7 linked regions of the Callithrix jacchus genome follow. The protein of the gene in region 5 interacts with the protein of the main gene of each other region in a pairwise test. Links are inferred from orthologs where the notes say so. Each region holds a gene or a part of one and is shown on either strand. Other genes may lie near its edges.

Region 1 (3,500 bases), on a different chromosome or scaffold from region 5:
GTAGGATCAGTATATTTGGATCCCAGTCTGAACATCTGAAGGTTTTACACAGATATGATATTTCTACATCTGTGGTATTAGCACTGTAGTGATAGCTAGTCATTCGTGGAGAAGAACATATACATGGGCCCATATACACAACCAGAGAGAGGAGCTAGTTTTCTGGGGCAGATTGCAAATGCTTTTAAAAGGGGGTATGGTCTTGTGCCCAGAGTGCTGATTGGGCAAAAGAAGGACATAGGCTCTTCTAGGATTTATTCTGTCACTTCAAAGTAGTTAAATTCTTTTTTCTTTTTCTTTTTTTTTTTTTTGAGATGGAGTTCCACCCTGTCACCCAGGCTGAAGTGCAGTGTCACGATCTCAGCTCACTGCAACCTCTGCCTTTCTGGGTTCAAGCAATTCTCCTTTCTCAGCCTCCTGAGTAGCTGGGACTACAGGCACATGCCACCATGCCTGGCTAATTTTTGAATTTTTAGTTGAGACAGGGTTTTGCCATGTTGGTCAGGCTGGTCTCAAACTCCCGACCTCAGGCCTCCGACTCCCAAGGTGCTGGGATTACAGGCATGAGCTACCGAGCCTTGCCAGTAATTAAATTCCTGAAGGTTGAATTGTGCCCTCTTTACATGGAAGAGAATACTACTCTCATCTCACTTCCTTTTAGTAATAAATTCTGGTAGTGATAAAAAAAAGGCCTTATTTATTTTTTCTTTTCTGTAGTGTATAAAGTGCAAGCCATTATCATTTATCCTGTTGAGCACTTTCAGTTCCTGATTACTGATGGGAAGCCTGTTGGAGAAGAGACCCAAAAGTCTCTAAAGATGGTGGAGCTGGTCACATTCTGCCAGAAAACTCAGTAGTTCCTGTCCCTGGGGAGAGGCCTTCAAGCGACAGAGGATTGGGAAAGTTATTTGGGCCACCTCAACAGTCTCTTTGCCTTGTTATATCCAGGCTCATGTTTCTTCCTTTCTCCACTTCTACTCAATTTAGGAGCCCAGGGGATCTGTGACTTGCTCATCACCTCTTCCCCTAATGGAAAAAACAATGGGAAAGGAGATGCATGCTGGCAGACAGCACCTGCTTTTTCTCTAGCCATAAAACAGCATTGAGATCTGTCTGATATTGGAAGATTTGGGTTTTTGGAAATAGGATGATTTTGGATGATTTAGTCTTCTCAACCCAAATTGAGCAATAGCTCATACTTTTCTAAAGATTTAAGGAGAGAATCAGGAAAGCAAAAATTGGAAAAATTAGGGTAAAATTAAGTCCTTATTAGTAAGGATTGTAATTATATTAAAAAAACCACTGGGGTTAATAGAATAACAGGAGCTAGAGTTCCCGACAGGAGGGAAGTATGATATACACACCACAGGAAAGGGCCGGAGAAGAGGAAGGGGGAAATGAGGAGGAAGGGTTATCGATAGCAGGCCCTATCAAACTGCCCCCAGAAAGGAATGGTAGAAGTTTAGAGCATGGCCAGCTACCAGTCTAAAACAGCCTGCTCTGAAAGAGTAGCCTGCTGGGGCTCCCCAGTTGGCATCTAAACAGCCAGGGTGTGATGTGGCTTGGGGTGACCCATCCAAGGTGACTGCACAGGGAGAGAATCGCAAGAGGCAGGAGAGCACAGAAGTGCTAGCCCCCCAGGAAGCTTACCTTACAGAGTAACCAGCTGCTCCACACCCGCCCCTGCCCACAGTGTGACACACTGCTGTCCAGACTGACAGAATTGCAGGAAAAGTACAAGGCCAGCCAGAAGGAGATCGGGCAGCTACAGATGGAGCAGTGTGAGCTCCTGGAGGATCAGAGGAGGTTGCAGGAGGAGCAGGGCCAGCTGCAGGAAGAGCTGCACAGGCTCACACTGCCACTGCCCAAGAGTGGCCTCTTACTCAAGGTAACTCCACTAGAGGCAGCTGCTTACTGTGGGGAAGCTGCTCTGAGAAGCTTCCCTGTGTGACCAGGGAAACATAAAAGGATGGGGATTGAACTTTTTCTTCTCTTTACCAACCACTCCTTACTTTCTCACCACTCTCCCCAAACCAAAAAGCTCGACAGAGCCAATTAGAGTTTTCTTATAAGACCTTCAAATCTTAAAATACCTTTTTACACTCTGGAATCTGTGCAGCAGTTTATATTTAGCTATTTAGTCCGTCTGGAGAAAATGCACCTGAAAGCACTTTGTAAACTACAAAATATATTCCAACGTAAGAGATCATTACTACTTTTATCAGGCCTCCATAGAAAGGCCCCCTGTCCCCCGATGGGCTCTGTGAAGCCAATCCAGAGATTCTTCAGGGAAATGTTCACGACGGGAATGAGGCACCAGGGAGGCATCAGACTTCCTTGTGGTAACCACCACAATCCCTTGCCTCCTTCCTTCTACTTCGCCTCAGAGTCAGGAGCTACTCACCAAGTTAGAAGACCTGTGGGAACTGCAGCTGCTCTACCAAGGCATGCAGGAGGAACAGAAGAAGCTGATACAGAACCAAGACTTCGTATTGAAAGAACAATTAGAGCTATATGAAGAGCTGCAACATTTCAAAGAATCTCATTTCCAGGAAGTGTTGGAGAATCCAGATGATTCCAAATTGGCTAAGTCCTCAAAATGTGATCGAAACAAGGTAACCATAGTAAGAGCTAGGGAGACAGTTCTCCTGAGCACAACAGCATGGCAGGGAGAGTGGGCACAGCCAAAGGGTCAGAGTTGGGAAGGCCTATTTGACCATGGGTAAGGATAAGGGTAAAGTTCTACCCTTCACCAGCTGTGACCACTCATAGGCTCCATTAAGAGGTGGCTTTTAGATACGGCCAAAGGACCTCACCTAGATGCCATTATCTTTTGTCACATTTATATTCACAGTGCTTAGCTGAAGCACTGTGAGCACTCAGGGCAGAGCTGGGATGACCCAAAGTCTGTAATCTGATCATTTGACTCATTCCCAGTAAGATGTATAGTATCAGTTTGGTGTTTGTTTGGATTCCTTTGGACTGACTCTAAACATGTCATCTTTTTTTTTTGAGTAGAAAAGTACACTTCTCAGTTATCGAAATCTATCACCTTTGGTGTTCTATATGAGGCAAATTTGGTTCCTTTCATTTACAAAAGAAGAATTCCTAGCATATGAGGTTCTTAGTACTGACCACAGTATCTTTATTGGAACTTTGGTGGCAATAACAGAGCAAGATCACAGGGGTTAGACCAGAAAATCAATGCCTCTCAAGTACCAGCAAGGGGTCATGCAGATGAGGTGACACAGGTGGAGATCACCATACAATTCTATTCAGGGGTGGGGGATAAAGTTGTTCTGAGGTCTCAGCGTGGGCAAGGAAGGGCAGGTAGACAGTTTCGATTTAGGCTGAATCTACTCATTCAGATCTTAGCCGAACGAGGAGAACAGGGAGTAGCAAAAGTCAACGTGAGGCTGGATCATATTCCAGGGGCATCAGATGTCCAGGCTGGAGGCCTGGGTAACACAGAGCTGGGAACCAGGTATAAAATATTTCCT
Region 2 (4,261 bases), on a different chromosome or scaffold from region 5:
TACTTAATGCTTTTTGCCCTGAAATCAACCTTAAGTTATTTGTGATTCCTGATTTTTGTTTATTTTTTGCATATTCCTTGGCATATCCTTTCCAGTCTTGTATTTTCAAACTCAGAATAACTTTGCTTCAGCACTTTCTTTATTTTTTTTTTTTTGAGACAGAGTTTCTTTCAAGGCTGGAGTGCACTGGTGTGATCTCGGCTCACTGCAACCTCCACCTACAGGTTCAAGCAATTCTCCTGCCTCAGCCTCCCGAGTAGCTGGGATCACAGGCATACGCCACCACGCCCAGCTAATTTTTTGTATTTTTAGTAGAGTTGGGGTTTCACCATGTCGGCCAGGCCGCTCTCGAATTCCTGACCTGGTGATCTGTCTGCCTCGGCCTCCCAAAGTGCTGAGATTAGAGGCGTGAGCCACTTTGCCCGGCCAGCACTTTCTTTTATACAACATTTAGTTGCACGATGGTTTGTGTTCCAATCTGAGCCTTTTTTTAATAGCTAAGCTTAGGTCTATATTTCTTCCTGTGAGACATTTGGTCTTGTTCTGTCATATAGTTTGGTTATGCTTTCTGTTTTGTAACTTTTTCAAATATTTCCCTACGTTGCTTTGTTTGTTTTGCTGTGGTTGTGTGTGTGTGTGTGTATTATTTGAAAGATTTGTAGTTTTGCTCTGCGTCGCCCTCAGAATTATGCCATCCCATGACGTCCTTAATCCTCTATTTCTTTGGTTTTCTTTTGCCTCTCCATTCTATTTCTTTTTTTCCTCTCATTTCTCATTTTCTTAATCACTGGATTTTAATGGATTATAGTATCTTGGTATATTCCTTCGGACTAAGACGTCTGCTTAAATCTCTACTATTTGACTTATCGGCTTGAACTCTATTTGACACCCAATTACAGATGTAAAAATCACATTTTCCCGAAGTCCCACGTTCCCTTCCCCTCCCTACTTCTGTCAGCGACGTTGTTGTTAAAGATCGAGGCTTTATAGCATTGACATTCTTTTCTGTACCCCAATCGCGGCATCTGTTTCCTTAATCTTATGCTCAACCCCGTGCTCCTTGCCATCCTTTTGCCAGCATCTCGGCTATGCAGATTTATTTTCAACTTTTTGCTTTTGAATGAATGAGATCGAGAGACCTGGAGACACTCACTCCCCCACCTCCCCCAATCAGAAAGCGCGGCCTCGGACCACTTCTCCTTCTTACCATCTGGGGGCGCTGCCGCGCGTTCCTCAAACTTTGTGGAATTTCGAAAACGTGCACCCAGGCGACACCTCTTGGTGGTAGAAGAGGACGCCTGCTGAGGGGAGCGTGCAGTGCGGTCCTCCCGCGGGCAGGGGGCAGTGCGGCAAGGAGCCCTCGGCGCAGGCGCAGAGGCCAAAGCAGGCCTAGGCGCAGGCGCAGGCGCAGGCGCAGGCGCGGCGCGCTCTCCCGGCAGCCCGCGCTCTCTGACCCCGCGCAGCCGAGCGCCCTGAGGACTCAGCGAAGGGTGGGCGCCGCCAAGGGCTCCTGCCGCCGGCGGGTTTCCGCGGAGTGCCGCCCGGCTCCGCGCTGCCGCCGCCGCGGCCCATGGGCAGAGTCGGCTGGGCGGGCCGGGTAAGTCGCGCCCTGGCGGCCCCAGGGGGGCGGCCTGGCGGGACCCGAAGCGGGCGCGCCTTCCCGGGAAGCGCTGGACGCGAGGCCGCGGCTTTAGGCCGCGTCGCGAGGGGTGGGGGCCGGGCCATCTCAACCCGAGCCTCCGCGGGTCTCAGTCCCCGCAGCGGGCCCTGGCCTCTCCGCTCGGCGGTGGCCCGGTACACTCCGCCCGCCGCCGCCTCGGGTGACCCGGGCTCTGGCCTGCTCCCTCTTCCCCTCCTCCTCCTGTCTGCCTCGGGCTCTTCGGCCCTGAAGAGCGTTTCGCCTCCACTTCGTGCACCACGTCCTGACGAAGTTGCCCGGTCCCTAGACCCGGAGCGTGTCCCCCAACCTGGCCCCGCACAGTTGCCTCTCTCCCGGGCTCAGAGAAAGGAGCCGATTCTTCCCCGGCTCTCAGAACTGGGAGTGCAGACGTTGGCGTTTCCCAGACTCCGGAGCTCCCCGAGACGGGAAGGCAGCCCGGACCCCGGCGTCGCCTCGGATCGTGCCGTTTGAGCGGTGTTTCAGCGCGCACTTCCGACCCCAGGCAGTCCTTGAGCTTCACCTATTGCCCAGAGGATGGGAAATGATGAGAATGCAGGTGGAGCGAGGTTCTGCCCTTGCTTGCAGGAGTTTGGTTTCTGGGAAAGCAGGCGTGGAAACCCAGGCTCGGTTTGGTGAAGGACGCGAGATCTTGAGAGAGGAGGTGATGCTTATGTTGAGTCTTGAAGGTACTTTGTTAGATGTGCGAGGTGGGAAAAAAGGCTCCTGGCGGAGGAAGTCACGGCGAAAGTAGCAGAAGTGAAGCGCCGTAGTGCGTTCTGGAAGCTGCAGGTGAGGCAGAGAGGAAGGTTTCAGGAGGGGGTGCTGTGTTTCGAGGAGTCGTCCGGTCAGAACATGGAGGTTTCTTGAGGAGCAGCAAAGGAGCGCCATTGAGGATCCTTATTGCTAGAGCCTGGCATATGGATGGAAAATAGGATATTCTAGATCAGGGCAGGATACGCATATACTCAAATAGACGGGTACATGAGCACTGGCTCCCTGCAACAGATGGAGTTTTTAAAGGATGCAACTCAGTTTCCAGATTTCTAGTTGGTAAAGGCTGCAGACATTTTGATCGTAATGACAGCTTTTAGGGATGATGGGGTAACAATTTATGAGCTAAACGAGAGGGCTTTATTTTTAGAGTTAGTTAGGCAAGGTGCTGCGTGCTGTCCAGTTTGTAACAGCAGGTTGTGCGATCGTGGACCTCTGCGGAACCAAAGACAGCCTTTCTGGAGGCTCTTGAGAGGATTGTTGTACACTCCCAAATGCAGCTTTATTTAAAGTGGATTTCTTTTTACCTGGTTTGTTTTAAATTACCTTCATTCTCCTCTGCATATGAGTTTTTCAGACCTCCCCGCAGCAGGGAGCAGATGATCCCAGGTTAGTCATCTCTCAAGCCTTCCATCATAGTCAATAGTGAAGAATGTTCTGTTACGCTCCTAAATTATAGGTGACTCTATTGGACTGTGTTTGCAATTCTACCCGATGGCATTTTGAGAGTAGCAGACTGTGAGAATGAATGGAAAGATTAAACTGTCAAGGGCAGATGAAGGTATGGGGAAAATTTTTTTCAGTTCTTTAGAAAGTTATGGTAGATCTTATACATGAGGTAGATGCCTTTTTTGCCGTATTTTTTGTGGACATCAAAGTGCACCACCCCTCCTGTTCCTTTCTGTGTGTATTTGCCATATTCTTTTTTGTTTCTCCTGAGACGGAGTCTTACTGTATGGTCCAGGCTGGAGTGCAGCGGCGCAACTGGCTCACTGCAACCTCCGCTTCCGGATTCAATGATTCTCTGCCTCGGCCTTGAGTAGCTGGGATTACAGGCGCTCGGCATCACGCTCAGCTTAATTTTTGTGTTTTTAGTTGAGATGGGGTTTCACCATATTGGCTAGACTGGTCTCGAATCCTGACCTCAGGTGATCCTTCCGCCTTGGGCTCCCAAAGTGCTGGGATTACAGGTGCGAGCCACCTCGCCCAGTCTTACCATATTCCTTAGGTTTCAAAGAGGTATGCTTTGTTTTATGATGCATGAATATCTATTTAGTAATAGAAATATTTCTTCCTAACACGCCTGCTTCTTTAGGTGCTCAGAACTCAGACCTTGACCTACTATTGGTTGTGTGGTGGTGGTAGTTTTTCTCTCCTTAATTATGGCTTACAACTTAAATTTTATCCTACTTATCTTAAGTTATGTCCTCAAAAAGCAGATCTGCAGTGGCCAGGTGCTGTGGTTCACGCCTGTAATCCCAGCACTTTGGGAGGCCAAGGTGGATGGATTACCTGAGGTCGGAAGTTTGAGACCAGCCTGACCAACATGGAGAAACCCCAACTCTACTAAAAATACAAAATTAGCCAAGTGTGGTGGTACATGCATCTAATCCCAGCTACTTGAGATGCTGAGGCAGGAGAAATGGTGGTTGCAGTGAGCCAAGATTGCAACATCATACTCTACCCTGGGCAACAAGAGCAAAACTCTGTCTGAAAAAAAAAAGCAGATTGTGATTTAAATAGGTGCATTAACATTTTCCATCCATTCACTAACATGTTTAGAAAATATTAATAGAGCCACTTGCAATGTTCAAGCATGGTGCTAAGCTA
Region 3 (4,300 bases), on a different chromosome or scaffold from region 5:
ATGTGCCACCCTGCCCAGTAATTTTTTCTCTTTCTTTTTTTTTCTTGCATTTTTAGTAGAGATGGGCTTTCACCATGTTGGCCAGCCTGATCTCAATCTCCTCACCTTGTGATCCACCCACCTCAGCCTCCCAAAGTGCTGGAATTACAGGTGTGAGTCACCATGCCCAGCTTTTACTGTGATTTTTAATCTGACATATATACATAAAAACTCATGGAAGATTACTTAATCCTTAATTCGCCATTTTTTTCTAAAAATACAACCTGAACATGAGAATTCCTACAGAGAAATTCCATACAATTCCTTGGAAATTCTATTCATATGAACTTCAAAGTAAGTATATTATAAATTCTACAAACTGCCGTGCGCGGTGGCTCACGCCTGTAATCCCAGCACTTTGGGAGGCCGAGGCGGGTGGATCATGAGGTCAAGAGATCAAGACCATCCTGGTCAACATGGTGAAACCCCGTCTCTAATAAAAATACAAAAATTAGCCGGGCATAGTGGTGCGCGCCTGTAGTCCCAGCTACTCAGGAGGCTGAGGCAGGAGAATTGCCCGAACCCAGGAGGCGGAGGTTGAGGTGAGCCAAGACCACGCCATTGCACTCCAGCCTGGGTAACAAGAGCGAAACTCCGTCTCAAAAAAAAAAATTCTACAAACTATAAATTATACAAATTTCTTGATTTTTTCATAGATATGAAATACATATTATATATTTTTAATAGACCCATACTTCTTTATATTAAAAGGTTTATTTTATCATTTCAGGACAGAGAAAGTGGATGAAGTTATTAAAGAATGGGAAGGTTCTTTCTTTAAAGATAACCCTCGATTGAGGAAAAAATCTGTTTCTCTTCGATTTGATCTTCATTTAGCAGCCACCGATGAAGGGTGTTTACAGACTAAGCAGGATAATCTACCAGATATAGAAGTCAGGCTTATCATGAGACGATCATGCAGTATTCCCTCTATCAAACCTCCATCGACAGCTGATTAATCCAAAGATAGTATTTGACTTGATTTGAAAATGTTAGGATGGTCCAAGGTGGGCCACACCGACTCCCTTTGTCCCAAAATGTAAGTTATTAAGTATGTATGGAAAAGGTTATGATCAATATGTGGTTCTCTTCAGAAGAAAAAAAACAGTTAAGGACATTTCTCTGAATCTAATTATGGAGATATACATATATATATATATATAAATGAGGGGGTAGCTTAAAAATAAAATCACAAATTCAGTACAGTCTATTTCTTATTTTCCAAATAGTCTTCTTTTTCCCTTGAAACTTCATCAGAGACTGTAAGCATTAACCTGGTTTAGTAAAGTCTTTGTAATTTTTTTCAACGGCTGAACACTCTAAGGAAAAAAGAATTGTTTGAGTAAGATTGTATTATGTTAAGAGTCACACTGAGTTATTCATCATTATTCCATGACTAGTTAAACCTACAATGTTTGTTCTATTTTTCAAAAACAGCAATTATAAACAAGTTTTTTAAGGGGGACTCACTATTCACTTAACGAGAATTCTTCCTTTTTAGAAAATCATTTATATACTCAGAAAAATAAGAGTTATTTTCCATGAGAAATTCTGAGCAAACTATTGAACACACCCCAAGGCTAACTGGATAAGTAAAATTAAGTTAATCTATACATATCTAAATGTTTTTTAAATAAGTATCTGATTTCCAGAAGATTTACTTTACTCAAAGAACTTTAAAGGTTGTATCCCCCACCAAAAAAAGACAAAAATCAGAAGGCCAACTGTACAAACAAAATATGAAAAGCAAATTGAAAAGGTAGTTACTATCATTATCAGAACAGTTACCCGCCATCCCGGTTTTTCCACCTGTACAGCCAAATGTGATTAGAGTGTTTGCTATCAGCCTTAGATAAGATACTATATAAAGTATTATAAATATTTCTTGCAATCATTCATGTGAACTAAGATAACAGTAATTGTTATCTAAGCTAAGAGTGTTTGCAGGATTTGTTTTTAAATTGTTCAAATTGTAATAAATATGGGTAGAAAATATATTTGTGAATAAGTGAGGTATTGTTGCAAAGTTTTTAAAATAACCTAATTTAATACAGGTATATTTAAGATCTTAAATAATAAATACCTGTTTTAAGACATTAGAAATGTATAAGCTCTTAATTTTTTTCTAAGCAGAAAAAGTAGTTGAGTACAACTCACCATACTTTTTCCCAGCTAAAGTATCATCTAAGGGCTCCAGCTATGTTTGCATTTTAGTACAGCCTTTGCAGCCTTTAAAATCTCTCTCTCTCTCTGTACATATATACATATATGTACATATATATATGTATTTCAACCAGAAAAAATATATGATTTAACCAGGAAAATATTATATTATTTTAATATTTAACATAATACAGGGATAAAAATTTTTAATTTTCTTTCAATTACTTCAGATTCCTTTTAGTCTGGCTTATTCTATTTAATGAAAAGGGATGATTTTGTTTTGTCAAGGATATAACAGCATGTTAAGTGCTTATTCTTGCATAAGCATTTGACCTAAAATACATCCTATACATGAAAAAATGTTTCATTCAATATTGCTAAATGCTACTAGCTTTATTAAAGCTTTAAAAATGCAATCATATAAGCTATTGTACTAAAGTTACTGTACGAAGCAGCAGTGATCATAATAAAGCAATATATCTAGCATCATGTATTTCAGTGTTAAAAAAAACTTAGTACTGGGTGTCATGAATGTAACTGCTTGTAGTGATTTCAGTATGTATCTATGGGGTATATAACATGTACATTTAAAAATACAGTTCTTGAATTTATAACGAAGTTTTATTCACTCTGAGGCATTTAAATTGGGATATGAATTTACCAAGGTAATGATACTAACACAATTTAAAAAAGCAAAACACGACCAGGCACAGTGCCTCATGCCTGTAATCCCAGCACTTTGGGAGGCCAATGCAGGAGGATCGCTTGAGCCCAGGAGTTCAAGGCCAGCCTGGGCAATATAGCAAGACTCCATCTCTATAAAAGGTAAAAATAAATAAAAATGAAAAATTGAAAAAATTGAAACATGAATGCTAAAGCTGCATTGTATGTGAGTTTGAACACAGTCCTTTAAGTTCAAAGTATCTCTGCATGGTTAAGTGAAGCAAAGAACTAATTACTCCAATATGGTTAGTTCATTTGGGGAATTAAAAAACCTGCAATCACAGTAGATAGATAATGGTTTTTAACTTGTTTTACAAAAGAAAGTATTAAAATGGTATATTTATATTTTATTCTAATTTTTTTTAATCAAAATAATCACATAATCCTATAATTCTGGGAAAAGTATAATAATGGCAGCACCATTTGCAAAGTACTTACTCAGCTGCAGTCACTGTGTTGAATCCCTAATCCTTCCTTACAACAATCCTACAACATGAATAATATTATCCTTGGTTTATACAAGAGTAGAAATTAATATTCTTGAATCGCTTGGAAATGTTACAAATGCATGCTTGCATAACAAAATACAAAACTGAAGAGTTATTCCAATTACTAACAACTGTAGGATCCTAGCCCTGGCTCTGTCACTAATTAACCCTGTAACCAGGAGGGACTACTTTAAGTTCCTACGTCTCAAGTTTTACATTTGAAAACAAAGGAAAAGGTAATGCTGGGTAATAATTCCTACTCTGCCTATTTTACAATTCTTTGAAATAATATACAAGCAAAAATATTTGGTAAAGCACTGCTCAGATACACAGTACTATTTGGAAGAAAACTGTCTTCAGAGAATTTGTGGGGAAAATTATAGCTGACAATGATTAAGTAATAATTCAAAACACAACGGGTAAAGATACTATTTTGGTTTTTGGGGTTGTTTGTTTGCTTGTTTTGAGACTGAGTCTCACTCTGTCACCCAGGCTGGAGTGCAGTGGCATGATCTCGGCCCATTGTAGGTTCAAGCGATTCTCCTGCCTCAGTCTCCACAGTAGCTGGGATTATAGGCATATGCCACCATGCCCAGCTTATTTTTGTATTTTTGGTAGAAATGGAGTTTCACCATGTTGGCCTGGCTCATCTCCAACTCCTGACCTCAGGTGATCTGCCCACCTCAGCCTCCCAAGGTGCTAGGGTTACAGGCATGAGCCACTGTGCCCGGACAAGATACTATTTTTAATTTTTCAATTACTGCCAGAAAAGCAATTCTTTCCCAATAAGTCTCACCCAGTTTGAACTGTTCTGTCATGATAGCTTTTAAAGTACTAAAATATTCTGTATGCCAGGCACAGCGGCTGATGCCTATAATCCCAGCATT
Region 4 (4,014 bases), on a different chromosome or scaffold from region 5:
CGAAGACGGGCACCAAGGCGAAAGTGGAAGACCTACACGCGTGAGACAAGAGTGGGTGGGGTCAGGAACAGCCTCGCCCACCAGCCAAAATTCATAGGGAAGCCAAGCCACAGCCCCAGGTACGTCCATGGGGTTCCTTCCTCCCCCTTCAAACCAGGGTTTAGGACTAAGCCTCGCCCTCTCCGAATACTAAATTTGTCCTTTCTTTCCCCAAATCTCTGAGCCCCACACACCACCAAGGAACTCGCTTTATAGGACCGATGCCCCACCTCTTCCCCCAATACGGAACCTAAGGGTGTCCCGGGGGAATTACCTTAGGCCCCTCCCATCCACCTCAGAATATTTCGCTTCATAGAAAAACTCAATCCTAGGGACATTTTCTTCCAGCCACGCCCCTTCCTCTAAAATATTTCCTTTTGGCCCCACTGCCTTCCTAGTTTCCATCCCAAATCAGTTCCCAGGGTAACCGTCCCAGATCCCAGCCTTTTAATGTTATCCACTCAAATCCCACGCCTCGCCTTCCCACTGCCCCTCCAAGCCCCGCCCCTCATTGTTTAGCTCCGCCCCCGATTCCTTAGAGGCCCCGCCTCTTTGTCCCATCCCTCAGCTAATGGTTGCCTTGGCCCCGCCCCTTCTCATAATGAACTCCCTAAGTCCCACCCATCGTGACGACGTGGTTCTGGTTCCACCCGTTTAAAGGGGTTCCTCTAAGCCCCGCCTTCTGCCCTGTCAATCTACGTGAGTCCCCGCCTCAGCAGGTGCCTAGTTGAAATAAAAGAAAGCTGTGCTGTGAGTCAGAGCAACGTGGAGCCGGAGAGGTGGAGGAGGGTAGAGGGGATTGGCAGAGAATGGCTACCCGAACGCCCCGTCTACACATGGCTTTGCCCCCGAGGGCCAAAGTGCATGCTCCGCCGCCGGAGCGGTCCAATTGCTTTTACACCGCCGCCCTCCTGGGGATCAATGCGCGTGTGTGACGCCGCACAGGACCCGCCGCTCATTCATACGGGGCACTAGTGGGCTACTGCGCAAGAGCAACCAAGCACGCACAGAATCGTTTAGAAAAAAGCACACCCTTCCCTGGAATGCGCAGCCGCAGCCGCACGCGGGCTGACAAACACCAAGTCTAGAACTCTCCCACCCGGCCCCGGGCCCAGTGCGCATGCGCACCCGCGCGCCCTCGGCCCACCGTCCCTCTTCCGCGCCTGCGCGACCGTGATTCTCCGCTCGTGGTTCCCCACCCCCAGGGCTTCCTAAAGAGGGCCACGAGCTGCGAAAGCGCGGGAAAGGCGGTTGGACAAGGAGAGGCGAGCGGTTACTCACTCCATGGCTGCGGCAGGAAGAGGCAGCGGTGGCCTCGGCTGAAGAAAGAAGGTGGGACGGAGAGCGCAGGCGCGGAGACGGGCTGGGGGCACAAAGGGGTCGCGGCTACAGAGCCATGGCCGGGGCTACGCGGGCGGAGGAGGCGACGCTTAGTGAGAAGACTGTGAACTGAGGTCGGGGAATGAGGCGGCCCCGGGGACTGGGGATAGATATACCCGGGGTGGCGCAGTACGGCCCTCCCGGATCCTTCCGCGCCCCGCCCTCGCGCGGCCCCAAGCGGGAGGCAGCCCGGTCCCCTCCTCGTGGGGATCAGAGGATCCGACTCCCTGCTTCCCACTCACAGGATCGGGCCCTCTCCTGCTTGTGGCTCCGAGGTCTGGTTTTTCCTCCTGACTCTAGGCTCTGGTTTCTCTTTCTGCCTCTGAGGTCTGGGCCTGCTTCATTCCCTTCCCGCAGACTCGCACCGATTAATTTCCCTTTCCCTGCTTCCAGAATTTCCTGCCAGCCACACTTTTCATCTCCATCCCCCAACTGCTGACCCTTAGAACCCTCGTGGGTTAGAGTCCAGCATGAGTCACAGCCCCCTCCGCAACGCAGACCTGCCAGGGTGGCCTCGGGCAAATAAGTTCCCTCACCTCGTTTCCCTGTCTGCAAAATAAGAAAATCAACTCTCGTAGCGGATTTATGAGACTCAAGACAATGTGTCCGCCAAGCTTTATGCCCAGAGTTCAACTCATACATTCCTGTTCAACATTTTTTTTTTTTTTTTTTTTGAGAAAAGAGTGTCGCTTTGTCACCCAGGCTGGAGTGCAGTGGCACAGTCTCGGCTCACTGCAGCCTCCCCCTTTAAGGTTCAGGTGATTCTTCTGCCCTCAGCCTATCGAGTAGCTGAGACTGCAGGCACGAGCCACCACTCCGGGCTAATTTTTGTGTTTTTAATAGAGACGGGGTTTCACCAGGTTGCCCAGGATGGTCTCTATCTCTTGACCTTGTGATCCACCTGCCTCGGCCTCCCAAAGTGCTGGGGCTACAAGCGTGAAGTACCGTGCGCAGCCATATTTTATTATTAATAGATACTCTGGGGCCCAGTCTCACTTCTTCCTCCCTGCTTGCAAGAGCCGCAGGCGTTGGACTGTCCAACACCTGCTGGTGGGTCATTCTTCTGTCTCCCTCATTCCTCCAAAGTGTCCACTTCCAGCCGTCCTCACCTCCCATTCCAAAGGATGGGTGCCCAGGCCCCATCCCCTGGCAGGGATTCATGCATCGAGGCCCCAGCTTCGTTCTTTTCTCCATCCCTTGCCTTGGCTTCCTTTCAGACAGGCTTTCTTAGCCTCCACTGGATAGGAGCTGTCTCCCAAGCCTGCCAAAAATGGAAGATCTCCGTTTTCCTTTAGTCAAAGACAGGGTAGCCATCTTGCCCCTTCTCCTGCACTGGGCCCTCCGCCAGCTGAAGTGGATGTTGGTCTTTTCTCTGTTGCAGAAAGCCACCTTGTCCAATCCACATCAGGACATCCCAGCTGGAGTTCAACCTTCATCTCTTCTGTGGCAGTTAAGAGAGTGAATCAGGGTCCAGAGAAGGTGTAGGAACCCTGGTATTGAGCGTTACACACAAACTTCTTTGTCCTCCCTTCCCTGTGGCAGGCAGGAAGTCCTTCTCGGGATCTGACCACCTTCTCTTGGAGCACTTACTGTCCACTCTCCCAGTTTCTGAGCACTTGTCCTGTATTTCCTTTGGCTGAGGGGCTGTGTTATCACCTATGCAGTATGTAACCTAGCAGCTCAGAGCACAGACTAAGCTTGTCCCATCCGGGGGTCCACATGTAGCCCAGAACGTTCTTAAAACATTATGCAGATTTTTTTGCAGTTGTATTTATTTATCTGTTGCTCATCAGCTATTGTTAGTGTATTTTATGTGTGGCCCAAGACAATTTTAGTGTGGGCCCAGGAAGCCAAAAGAGTATCCATCCCTGGCGTAGACTCTGGAGCCAGATTATATGAGTTCAAAACCTAACTGCACCCCACTTATTAGCTGTGCGGCCCTAGTCATTTCCCTTCCCTGTGCCTCAGTTTCCCCTTTAGTACAAAGTGGCATTAAGAGTGCCTGCTGCTGGACCAGGTGCAGTGGCTCACACCTGTAATCCCAGCATTCTGGGCAGATTGCTTGAGGTCAGAAATTGACCAGCCTCGGTAACTTGGTGAAACCCCATCTCTACCAGAAATATAAAAAAATGGCTGGGTGTGGTATTTTGCGCCTGTGGTCCCAGCTACTCGGGAGGCTAAGGCAGGAAGATCACTTGAACCCTGGGGAGGGGCAGAGGTTGCAGTGAGCCGAGATTGGGCCACCAGACTCCAACCTTCAGGACAGAGTGACACCCTGTCTCAAAAACATTTCCTACCTCTTAAGGCTGTTACGAGGTTTAAAGACTGCCTGGTACACAGTAGGTGCTGCGTAAAAGCTGGTTACTGTATTGCTGTAATTAAGGTGGATGTGTTCTCTTTCTGTTCCTGTGCAGTAAGTGCTTTCAAACTATGACTGGTCATCCAATTTACAAAGGAGATTTCGGGACCAACTTCCTTCCACTTCTCAGTACAGGTTTTTGAGCAAATGCAGATGGAATTAAGGGTAGACTGTTGGACCGACTGGCAGTGGTAAGAAGGCACGCTTGTGCCATACCCACCCCCCACCCCTGCCGA
Region 5 (3,500 bases):
CGGTCTCCTGCGTGGCATTCTTTCTTTCTCTTTTCTTTCTTTTTCTTTTGAGAAGGAGACTCTCTCTGTCACCCAGGCTGGAGTACAGTGGCGTAATCTCAGCTCACTGCAACCTCCACCTCCTGGGTTCAAGTGATTCTTCTGCCTCAGCCTCCTGAGAAGCTGGGTCTACAGGCAGGTACCACCACACCCAGCTAATTTTTCTATTTTTTGTAGAGATGGGGTTTCACCATGTTGTCCAGGCTGCTCTTGAACTCAAGTGATTCATCTGCCACAGCCTTTCAAAGTGCTGGGATTACAGGCATGAGCCACCTCGCCTGGCCCCTGCATGGCATTCTTGCAGAGATCTCTGTACCTGCCACTTTGCTTCCAGTGCTCCCCTCAGCTTTTAGCTCTAGAAGGCCTTGCCCAGCTCCCTCTCCTCTCCCAGGTGGCCTCACTCCAGGAACAAGTGACAGCCCAGAGCCAGGAGCAGGCCATCCTGCAGCAATCCCTGCAGGACAAAGCCGCAGAGGCAGAGGTGGAGCGGATGGGTGCCAAGGTTGGTGTCTAAGCCCAGTAGAGACTCTGGGAGGGCAAGGGAGCCCCTTGTCTGGGGCTGCACCCAGGACTCAGGGAGAGACCCTGTCCTTTGCTGCATTCTCCCCAGGCCTTGCAGTTGGAGCTGAGCCGTGCTCATGAGGCCAGGCGCTGGTGGCAGCAGCAGACAGCCTCAGCCGAGGAACAGCTGAGGCTTGTGGTCGATGCTGTCAGCAGGTATCAGGGATGGAGGGGTGGATGGAATACTGTTTCTGCCACTTCAGTTTTCTGGAGCCTCAGACAAGAGGGGCTGGAAAGCTGGCCACTGGAGGCTACAGGAGGCTACAGCGCTGGGCACATTTAGCCCTATCAAAGTTCCTGTGTTTGTTTCTTTTCCTGGGGCAGCCCCCTCTGCATTCATACCTGATTACTTGTTATGAATTCCCCATTGCATGTTGGGCTGGAGGTGAGACCTTACTTCCTCCTGCAGTTCAGTCTAGTAATAGCTTGAGCTACATAGAGCACCTGGGAGGATCTTCACTTGCAGCATTGTTCAAGGATGGAGAGTGTGGACACTTCGTCATATTCCTTTCCTTCTCTAAAATTTTACAGGCATTCCCTGTTTCACTGCAGAAAAATTTAGTCTATTTATTTATTTACTTATTTTGAGACAGAGTTTCGCTCTATCATGCAGGCTGGAGTGCAGTGGTGCAATCTCAGCTCACTGCAACCTCCGCCTCCCAGGTTCAAGTGATTCTCCTGCCTCAGCCTCCTGAGTAGCTTGAGACTACAGGCGCCCAGCACCGTGCCCAGCTGATTTTTTTTGGAGTTGGAGAGTTGCTCTATCACCAAGGCTGGAATGCAGTGGCATGATCTCGGCTCACTGCAACCTCCATCTCCCGGGTTCAAGCAATTCCCCTGCCTCAGTTGCCTGAGTAGCTGGGACTACAGGCATATTCCACCATGCCCAGCTAATTTTCTTTTTTTTTCTTTTTTTTCGTATTTTAGTAGAGATGGGGTTTCACCATCTTGCCCAGGCTAGTCTCAAACTCCTGAGCTCAGGCAGTCCACCCACCTTGGCCTCCCAAAGTGATTACAGGCATGAGCCACCGTGCCTGGCCTAATTTTTGTATTTTTGGTAGAGACAGGGTTTCACCATATTGACCAGGCTGGTCTTGAACTCCTGAACTCAGATGATCCACCTACTTCTGGCTCCCAAAGTGCTGGAATTATAGGTGTGAGCCACTGTGCCCGGCTTAGTCTATTTATTTAAAGCTTTGTACTTACTTGGTTACTAGATATTCCCTCTAAAATGTAAGCCAGTTAGTTTCCTTCTAAATCAATTGCCAGCCTTTGTCTCTCATACCAACTGCCTAGCTGTTTCATTACCAACAATTGTTCTGTGACCTTCAGAAAAACCTCTAAGGAAACAGCAAAGCTTCTTTGTGCTGGTGATGACTTCCCCTCAGCCTTAGACATTGAGATGCCCAAGGCAGGCAGTTCTTAGCACAGTGTCTGGCTTGTGCATGTTTACTGTTATCTTTGAGGCTCTTCTTTATGGGTTAGATAATTGAGATAAAGATAATTTTTGGTTTAGTGAAATTAAGATGCAGGATGAGTTCTTGCCCACCACTTCCTTCTCTTGGATTTGTACCTTGGGAACTGATTCAGCTTAAAAAATTATTGAAAAATTTCAAACATGCACAGAATTAGACTAGTTATGATGACCTGCCACCCAGGTTCAATCCGTTGCATGTGCCTCCTATCTCCAGAACAGAAACATGTTCTGTGGACAGGGTTTGACTTTGGTACCATGAGATCACAGAAGTGGTTGTGTGTAATGATGCACTGCCAAAAGTCCTCCAGGCTTAAAGCAGTCCAAACTTGGATTGTTTCTGGGTTTATTAGATTGTCTCTAGGTAATTGGAGACTTCATTAGAAAATGGCTTTAATAAGAGCTGTGGTAGGTGTTGGAAGCTATTCAATTTCCAGATCAAAGTGATCTTTGCTGTGCTGCTGGGAATACAACTGCCAGCCTTCGTCATCATGTGTTTTTCTGTGGATGCAGACCTGAACTCTGTGAGGAAACCCCAGCCGGGCCCTAGACACTCCCTTGGCCTCCTCCCACGGTCTGTTTAAGCTGCTCGGTTTTCGTGAGCCAGGTTGGTCCTGCTTTTGGCACAGCCAGCTGGTAAAAGCTGGTAAAGCACGTGGACCTGCCCATCATTGGTGCTAGAGGATCGACACCCTGGGCTTGTTGGAGAGGATAACTTTGTTTTGTTTTTTTGAGACAGAGTCTTGCTCTGTCACATAGGTTTGAGTGCAGGGGTGCAATCTTGACTCACTGTAACCTCTACCTCCCAGAGTCAAGTGCTTCAGCCTCCCGAATAGCTGGGATTACAGGCGCACACCACCATGCCCAGCTAACTTTTGTATTTTTAGTAGAGACAGAGTTTCACCATGTTGGCCAGGCTGGTCTCCAATTCCTGACTTAACATGATCCTCCTGCCTCAGCCTCCCAAAGTGCTGGGATTACAGGCGGGAGCCCCCACCCCTGCCAAAGAGGATGACTTTGATCTTTGATGCATAATAGTGTGCAAAACACAGGTTGTAAGAAATAACCTTAACAGTTTGCTTGAAAAGATACAGTCATTTAATGCATTCTTGGGGCAAGGACCCTTTAGAAAATTGACAGAAGCTGTGCATTCTTTACTTGTATAACAGGATAGGATAAAGGGAATTGTCTATACAAGACACAGCAAGTCCTTTGGGAATGAGGGAGGCATGGAGGGTCAGTGACCTGTGCCCTCTCCAGCTCTCAGATCTGGCTCGAGAGCACCATGGCCAAGGTGGAACAGGCTGCTGCCCAGCTTCCCAGCCTCAGCAACCGACTCAGCTATGCTGTCCGCAAGGTCCACACCATTCGGGGTGCGTAGGGCGACTGCGAGCCACATCCTGCTCCTGCCCCACCAGCTCAGACT
Region 6 (3,500 bases), on a different chromosome or scaffold from region 5:
AATCTCCCATGACTTTTAGTACAATGCTTTATATACTCTCTTAAACTAATACTAATGTTTCTTAAAATCCAAAAATAATCCAATTACTAAAATCATGTGAGTAGGATACAACCATTTTTTTTTTTTTTTTTTTGAGACAGTTTTGCTCTTGTTGCCCAGGCTGGAGTGTAATGGCGCAATCTCAGCTCACTGCAACCTTCACCTCAAGTTCAAGCGATTCTGCCTCAGCCTCTTGAGTAGCTGGGATTACAGGCGCCCACTGCCACATCTGGCTAATTTTTATATTTTTAGTAGAGATGGGGTTTCTCATGTTGGACAGGCCGGTCTCGAACTCCCGACCTCAGGTGATCTGCCTGCCTCAGCCTCCCAAAGTGCTGGGATTACAGGCATGAGCCACTGCACCCAGCCAGGGATATGATAATTTTTAATAACCTCTATCTTTGGTGGTTCAATCTTTTAAAATAGTATTATAAATACAGTTCACTTACTGTAGAAGTTTTTGAAAATACAGGTAAGTGAAAAGAATATAAAAATCTGTCCACAATCCCATATTCAGAGATAATCACTACTGACATTTGAGTATGTCCTTCTGGTCTTTTTTGATGCAAATGTATATGGTAAATTTTTTTAATTTTTATTTGTACAAAATGAGATGCTATTTATCCCAACTTTAAAACTTTTCAAACATATTGACAGAACTTGTTTACTTTTTGAAAATACAAACACTATCTGCAAAATAAACATAAATGTTTTCAATTAAAACAAAAACTTCATTTCTACAAGTCTAACATCACTCTCGCATGTGCTAATATACTATGTATGTACATTAAAGGACTGAATCATACTGCAAGTAGTACCACTACTGAAGATCAATTTTTCAATTAACAAAGACTTTCAACATTAAAGTTGAAAGATCAATTTTTCAATTAACAAAGACTTTCAACATCAAGTTTCAATTTGCTACTTTTTAACATTTAAAACCATACCAAACACATAACAGTGTAATATATTCAAAGATAAATATGGTTTTACATGTTTTTCTAAAAAATTCACTAATTTCACATAAATGTAGAGGAAATTGGTATGCCTTTAGCAATGACAACTAAAATCAGGACTAATGTTTCACAATACCCAAAAGGAACAAAAGTTAAAAAAAAAATCAAATTGGATCTTCCCAAAATTTATTCAATTAATTTTTACCATTCTCTAAAAGGAGAAGTACTTAGAAAAACATTAAAAGTATGTATGTAGATGACCTACCTGTAAGCTCTTCCTTTGTCTTATCAACATCAGATAACTGAATATATATTTGGTTTCTTTCTCCTTCTAAGGTTTTTAAAGAAGCATTTAACTTTAAAGAAGAGAAGGAAAAAAGGAACATTAATCAGTTATACAGAAAAAAAAAAAAAAAACCTCATTATAACACCCCCAACACTTTTTAAGTTATTTTATCATTTTGATGAATTATCACCTGGAATACAGAAACCAATAATGCATCTTCCATCTTAAAAAACCAGCAAAATCATTAATACTTGTTAAGTCTCAGAACAAGGGATAGAGAAAAGTAGTGAATGCTTTTCACTGGATGCTTAAAAAGTGACTATTTTCATTCTATTTACTTTCAACAAAAGTTTTAATTAAAGCAGCCTTCAAACTACATTACCAAGACTTCATATAGATCAGCAAAAATTAGGAAACCTCCACTAGGGTGGAAAAGAGAAGAAATAAACCAGAAAAAAAGAAACCTAGTATTTACTTCTCAAAATAGGATATAGGGCAGAAGGGGTGAGAAAATATTTCGACTAGAAGAAAAAAGAATGATCGAGGGAAGTACAAGACAAAATACAAAAAACATTTTAAATATATTCATATCTGAAAAAATGAGTATAGAACTTGGAATTTTTTATTTTGATAAATTCTAAAAATTATATAAATTTATAAAGTTAATAATTAAAAGTAAAAAGCAATTGATGACAAAAATTCTGATCATTTATTGAATATATTTCTTTGGGAACATAAAATGGACTTTTTAAACAGTTACTAAGGAGATATGAGTTTAAACCATGTTCTCTTTCTTCCTCCCTATTCTTTACATTTATGTAATAACACAAACCTTAGCAGCATGAATCAGTTTCTTCAAAGCTCCTTTTGGAGGATTATCTACAGTGAAAATCAAAAGCACAACAATGATTTGGGAAAGTAGTACAATACGACAAAAGACATCCAAATAATTTTATCAGTTCACTCAACCAGAGACGTATAATCCCTCTTCTTGCTACAATAAACAATTTGGTATAAAGCAGAATGGCCTTGGACCTGCTCCCAGGAAGCTAAACAATAAAAGCACTGAAATGCCATACCATTTAACAAGGTTCTTCAGCTCCAACTCCAAGAGCAGAGTTATAGCAAGGATTCAATATTCATCTAAATATAGGCCACAATTGTTAACTATTCTTGGATTCTTACAGCATCCAAAATATGAGTAAAATTATAACCCAAGTTAAAATAACATTAAACAAGCATGAGGGAAAGGATTATTTTATACATAATGAAGTAGACATTAAAAAGTATATCCCTGAGACCATCCTGGTCAACATTGTGAAACCCCATCTCTACTAAAAACACAAAAAAAATTAGCTGGGCATGGTGGCACGTGCCTGTAATCCCAGCTACTCAGGAGGCTGAGGCAGGAGAACTGCCTGAACCCAGGAGGCAGAAGTTGCAGTGAGCCGAGATCGCACCATTGCACTCCAGCCTGGGTAACAAGAGTGAAACTCCGTCTCCAAAAAAAAGTACAAACAGAACTTTATATATTTATTTTAGGGATGTAATTTTTTCTAATATATTAATGTTATGAAAAAAATTTTGAATCACACTTTTTCCTCCTTAATAAATGTGTTACTTATACGGGGGCTAGGGAAGCAAACAGAAAAATGACATAAAAGTCTGAAGAACTACCACTGGGGTCAAATGAGAGAGGGGTACATGGAACCTCTGCACTAGTTTTCAGACTTCCTATGAAGCCGTATTTCAAAATAAAAAGTTTTTTTTAGGTCAAAGGAATTGGTGTGAGAATACAAAGTGGCTATGGTGAAACTAACTTTTGCCAACTTTAGAGCACAACCAGCAATGGCAATAACAATCTGGATGCCTAAGATTAAAAGTAGTGTAACCATCTGAACCTCTGACAAAAGCAAAGGAAATATCCTGAAGTATTCATTTACAGAACATTCATTTTTCAAACTAGTCACTCATCCATTTGATTAGCTTACAGTACAGGGGAAAACAGGCATTGAAATGATTATACTATAATTTTGAAAATTGCTCTAAGAAAGATATGTATAATATATACAAAGGAAACAGAGTGGGGAGGTTGTGTGTCTGAGCAGTTGGAGAAAGACTTACTGAAAAGGCAGTACTCCTGCTAAAGTTAACTATACAGGATGGTGAGAAAAGACAGTGTGTTGCAGACAGACAGAACATGCCAAAGTAAAAGCATA
Region 7 (4,066 bases), on a different chromosome or scaffold from region 5:
CTGAGTTCAAGCAATTCTCCTGCCTCAGCCTCCTGAGTAGTTGGGATTACAGGTGCCTGCCACCATGCCCAGCTCATTTTTGCACTTTTAGTAGATGCGGGGTTTCATCATGTTGGCCAGTCTGGTCTCGAACTCCTGGCTTCAAGTGATTCACCTGCCTCGGCCTCTCAAAGTGCTGGTACAGGTGTGAGCTGAAGTCAGGAGTTCTTGACCAGCCTGGGCAACATAGTAGACCCTGCCTCTAAAATACAAAAGGAAAGATTACATCGTACATTATACAGCAAAAGTTCTTAAACTTGTTTTAAAAATGTATCTCTTCCATTAAGTTTCCACTCTCTATGTAAGTTGCGTATCCCTCTTTTTGTTTTGCACTATCTCCTCCAGCCTCCTTCCAAGTCCATTAGGAAATACACACGTATACACACACACACACACGTACGTGTGTTTACATACTAAAACATATATAAACATTAATAATGCAAGATGGATTGTAAGAGGTATATATATTTTAAATATATAAAAGATATGTAGGTCTCCATTTCTTGGGGGCCCTGGAGGGGAGAAAGTCACACAAATACACGGATGTATATAAAAATGAATGTATGATCAGATATATACAATATATAAACGGGCAGATATGAAATCCTCTTGGTGCCAACGAATCCATTCATTCATTCATCAAATATCTGAGCGTCCACTTTGCCTAGAATCAAGTTATTTGTTGGGATGAGCAAGGCATAAGAGGTTCTAGCTCTAATAAAACTTAAAATTCTACTGGAGGAAGACAAGAACAAGTATAAAATTTAAGCAGTGGAAGTGCTGTAAAAACAACACAGAGCTTTGTGAGCGTGGTGAAGAGTGAATAGAATGCTCCTAGTGTTCCACTGGGTGTTCGGCAGGGGGAATGTAATCCAAGGTGAACTATGAGCCGAGATTCATTTTATAAACGGGAACACTGACACATGGACACTTGAAGGGCCTTGGTGGCCGTAAAACTAAAGGCAGGATCCCATCTGTCTTGGTGCCACTCTCCGGAATAGCAGTTTGGGAACCGGAGAAGCCTAAGGCAGCGGGTCGTGGGGTCCAGGGGCGCCTGCGCAAAAGGACGCCTTCAATTTGACGTCAGCGCGCCGGATTCTGGCCCGCCCCCTGTGACACCAGCCCTTCCCCGCCCCCCTTCCCACCAGCGGGCTGCCGCGCATGCTCCGAGCCCCACCTCCGTGCGTCACAGAATGGCCTCGGACACCCAGGCAGCCCTGACGTGTCGGGGAGGAGCCGGGCGCGGAGGTGCGCGGAGTGGAGCTCGGGGCTGCGGAGGGGAGCCGAGCTGAGAGGCTGGGTGGGCCTGGCCAAGCCAGCGGAGCGGAGACGTCGGTCGAGCGGCGGCGAACATGCGCTTTTGACACATTGGAGGTGAGCTTGCAGCGCAGGGCCACTCCCTAAGGGGCTGCGCCGGGCTGGCGGCGCAAAGGCCTGCCCTTGGGGAGCCTGCCCGGCCCGGGGCCGTGTCTGACGCTCCGCCGGGGCGGACCCGGCGGGGTTCTGGGGCGGGTAGCCCGGGGCAACTGTTCCAACCGCTCTAACTGTCCCCTTCCTTCCCTGTTCCTACGTTGGCATCCCAGGGGCGCCTGCAAGAGAACGAGCCCTGCGGTCTCTGGAGGATGTGCCCCGTTCCGGGGTGGGGTGAGGGATGGCGGTGACGGAGGCCAGGACGTGGCACCTTGAGCCCGGGCGCTGGCGGCGCAAGGAGTGGCCCAGTCGGAGGTGGCAGCGGCGCGCTCAGCCCTCCTCCTCTCCTCTCCCCGAAATTCCTTCAGTTGCGAGGGTGGCTTGGAGCCGGGTTGGATTTTATTCTCTCAGAGCCTCTTTCCCATGGGAGGCGAGAGCGCGAGCAGCCCACGTTGGGCTCGGATTGGCATTCCCCTGACTTCCGCCCCGAACTGCTAATCATCCTCCCCTTGGAGTCGGGAAAGTGTCACCTACGGGCTCGGGTTACTTGTGCTCGCCTCTTTTCTTTCTGTAAGCCACGAGATGACCCTTTTAAGTTTTGCAGAGGAAGCTAGAGTTCTATCACTACTGACGATTACCTTCTATTTACGTAGCGCTTTTACACGTTTCAGAACACTCTTCTTCCTATTTCTTTTGAACCGCATCACCTGGTGGTTGCAACTGATTATGTTATCGCCATTTGGATAGAGACATTCAGCTGGGATGGGGTAATTGATTTATACAACCAACTGGTGAGTGGCTTAGCTTGGATCGTAATTTACATTTCTAGGCTCGGAGTTCTGGTTTCTTTTCGTGGGATTTTTATATCCTTCTCAGCTAGAAAACAAGGCAGAAAATGTGACTTGCCAAGATATGCCAGATTTTATTTTTGAGCAAACTCACCTAGGATAAAAACTGCTGCTCAGTCATGAGAAAAATCTTACTGTGAAGCTTGTTCAGGAGTTGCTGGTTAATTATTTTGTCTGATAAATTGTGTTGCACTTAATGTGCTTAAAAGCTAGGGTAATGGCTTTGCTAAATCATGAAGCTGATGGGCACAATGCAGCGTTAAGTCATGGGCTGAAGAGAAGTAAAGGGAAACTAAGAGATATATCTTCTGAATTATTAAGATTATTGTTATTTAAAATTTGAATGTATGAGGAACAAAGAAAATCTTTGGCCAGTCCTGGTTAGAGGTTGACTTGATCCAGATAGAAGTTGCTAAATCTTCTGAAGCTGTAGTTCTTTTGATTTTTTTTTTTGGTGGGGTGGGGGGGGGAGACGGAGTCTTGCTCTGTCGACCAGGCTGGATTTTTAAAATTAAATAAATTGAAGTTGGATAAGGAGCTTAAAATAAGTAGGAACCTTAGTAAAACCTAGGTCTTGCTTTCATGACATCCGCAAAACAATTTATTTTTATTTTCATTGTAAACCATGCTGAGATAAATTTGGTTACTAAAGCTTAAAACTGCTTCTGACGTAAGTTTCTAAACACTCCATAAAAAAAATAGTCTGATAAAATCAGAGAGACCATGTTTATGATCAACTTTGAGGAGTTAAAAATTCTGTAAATGTCACCTTTGCGAGTAGTAGAATTTCAGTAAAAAGGCATGTGTTACCAACAGTCAGTTTTGGAAGAACTCTTCCAACCTCACTAGTCCATTTTACAACTGTTAACAAGCAACAATATTATTTAAAATAGATTATCTTACCATTGTGCAAAGAGTAATTCCTTGTAAATAAAAGGCGTTTTGGACAGGCTGTTTTAAACCCAAATGAGTTGATTGTTGCTAGATTTCTGAAGGTCATACACAGTATGGTAATGCTTTTTGTAAAAACTGTCATGCTTTTGAGACTGTTGGTATTGAGACCTGGTATTAAATATGGGGTGGGGGCAGGTGAGAATAATACATAATTATCCGTCTTCATTCTAGTTTCAGAAAATTGTGAATGTACCATTAGAACATTGTTTTAGCAATATGTTTTCTATATTAGCTAACTGTCTATAGCCTGAATATCTCTAGTTACGTAGTTTCAAATAACACAGTGAACACATCCTCCCAATGTTACTTGAAGCAAACTGAACAGACTGTAAAACAGTCCTTGAAACTGTCTTTTGAGTAGCTGCAGTGGTAGCAAATTTTGCTATTTGTAAAGAATCTGATTTTTATTTTTACTTTTTTGGAGACAGGGTCTCATTTTGTCACCCTGGAGTGCAGTGGCACGACTATGGCTTACTGCAGCCTCAACTATCTAGACTCAAGTGATCCTCTCACCTCACTCTCATGAGTAACTGAGACCACAAGGTGCGTGCCACCACGCCCAGCTCATTTTTGTTAGAGATGGAGTTTCGGCTTGTTGTCCAGGCTGGTATTGAACTCCTAGACTCAAGTGACATTCCCATCTCAGCCTCCCAAAGTGCTGGTATTATATGCCCGAGCCACTATGCCTGGCCAGAATCTGATTTTTGAAAAGGGTAAATCTCATAGATAAAAAGTAGGGTAATGGAGCTGGATAATACCAGTTAGGAAGCAATTACAAATGAGGTGTGACCACAAAGTAAGAAGTTTTTGCTTTG

The links.
Region 1: the proteins of CCHCR1 (region 5) and CCDC136 interact in binary tests that used the Homo sapiens proteins (3 or more experiments, as listed by UniProt). The link is inferred for Callithrix jacchus from reciprocal best matches to the Homo sapiens genes CCHCR1 and CCDC136.
Region 2: the proteins of CCHCR1 (region 5) and RBM17 interact in binary tests that used the Homo sapiens proteins (3 or more experiments, as listed by UniProt). The link is inferred for Callithrix jacchus from reciprocal best matches to the Homo sapiens genes CCHCR1 and RBM17.
Region 3: the proteins of CCHCR1 (region 5) and SMARCE1 interact in binary tests that used the Homo sapiens proteins (3 or more experiments, as listed by UniProt). The link is inferred for Callithrix jacchus from reciprocal best matches to the Homo sapiens genes CCHCR1 and SMARCE1.
Region 4: the proteins of CCHCR1 (region 5) and NUP62 interact in binary tests that used the Homo sapiens proteins (3 or more experiments, as listed by UniProt). The link is inferred for Callithrix jacchus from reciprocal best matches to the Homo sapiens genes CCHCR1 and NUP62.
Region 6: the proteins of CCHCR1 (region 5) and MIA2 interact in binary tests that used the Homo sapiens proteins (3 or more experiments, as listed by UniProt). The link is inferred for Callithrix jacchus from reciprocal best matches to the Homo sapiens genes CCHCR1 and MIA2.
Region 7: the proteins of CCHCR1 (region 5) and NDEL1 interact in binary tests that used the Homo sapiens proteins (3 or more experiments, as listed by UniProt). The link is inferred for Callithrix jacchus from reciprocal best matches to the Homo sapiens genes CCHCR1 and NDEL1.

Annotation. Positions count from the first base shown.
Region 1 is NC_133512.1:118,372,540-118,376,039, reverse strand, and holds part of CCDC136 (coiled-coil domain-containing protein 136), read left to right. Parts: intron 1-1,693; coding exon 1,694-1,888; intron 1,889-2,387; coding exon 2,388-2,615; intron 2,616-3,500. UniProt on the Homo sapiens protein: May play a role in acrosome formation in spermatogenesis and in fertilization.
Region 2 is NC_133508.1:7,706,231-7,710,491, reverse strand, and holds the start of RBM17 (splicing factor 45), read left to right. Parts: upstream 1-1,461; 5' UTR 1,462-1,597; intron 1,598-4,261. UniProt on the Homo sapiens protein: Splice factor that binds to the single-stranded 3'AG at the exon/intron border and promotes its utilization in the second catalytic step. Involved in the regulation of alternative splicing and the utilization of cryptic splice sites.
Region 3 is NC_133506.1:92,613,396-92,617,695, forward strand, and holds the start of SMARCE1 (SWI/SNF-related matrix-associated actin-dependent regulator of chromatin subfamily E member 1), read left to right. Parts: upstream 1-1,500; 5' UTR 1,501-4,300. Other genes in the region: keratin-like protein KRT222, read left to right, coding at 770-998. UniProt on the Homo sapiens protein: Involved in transcriptional activation and repression of select genes by chromatin remodeling (alteration of DNA-nucleosome topology).
Region 4 is NC_133523.1:43,702,823-43,706,836, reverse strand, and holds the start of NUP62 (nuclear pore glycoprotein p62), read left to right. Parts: upstream 1-1,214; 5' UTR 1,215-1,371; exon of another isoform or gene 1,372-1,503; intron 1,504-1,661; exon of another isoform or gene 1,662-1,853; intron 1,854-2,800; 5' UTR 2,801-2,868; exon of another isoform or gene 2,869-2,912; intron 2,913-3,833; exon of another isoform or gene 3,834-3,969; intron 3,970-4,014. UniProt on the Homo sapiens protein: Essential component of the nuclear pore complex. The N-terminal is probably involved in nucleocytoplasmic transport.
Region 5 is NC_133505.1:35,967,947-35,971,446, reverse strand, and holds part of CCHCR1 (coiled-coil alpha-helical rod protein 1), read left to right. Parts: intron 1-430; coding exon 431-541; intron 542-649; coding exon 650-756; intron 757-3,334; coding exon 3,335-3,447; intron 3,448-3,500. UniProt on the Homo sapiens protein: May be a regulator of keratinocyte proliferation or differentiation.
Region 6 is NC_133509.1:73,965,949-73,969,448, reverse strand, and holds part of MIA2 (melanoma inhibitory activity protein 2), read right to left. Parts: intron 2,161-3,500; coding exon 2,114-2,160; intron 1,352-2,113; coding exon 1,261-1,351; intron 1-1,260. UniProt on the Homo sapiens protein: Plays a role in the transport of cargos that are too large to fit into COPII-coated vesicles and require specific mechanisms to be incorporated into membrane-bound carriers and exported from the endoplasmic reticulum.
Region 7 is NC_133506.1:74,958,185-74,962,250, forward strand, and holds the start of NDEL1 (nuclear distribution protein nudE-like 1), read left to right. Parts: upstream 1-1,266; 5' UTR 1,267-1,413; intron 1,414-1,620; exon of another isoform or gene 1,621-2,019; intron 2,020-2,120; 5' UTR 2,121-2,240; intron 2,241-4,066. UniProt on the Homo sapiens protein: Required for organization of the cellular microtubule array and microtubule anchoring at the centrosome. May regulate microtubule organization at least in part by targeting the microtubule severing protein KATNA1 to the centrosome.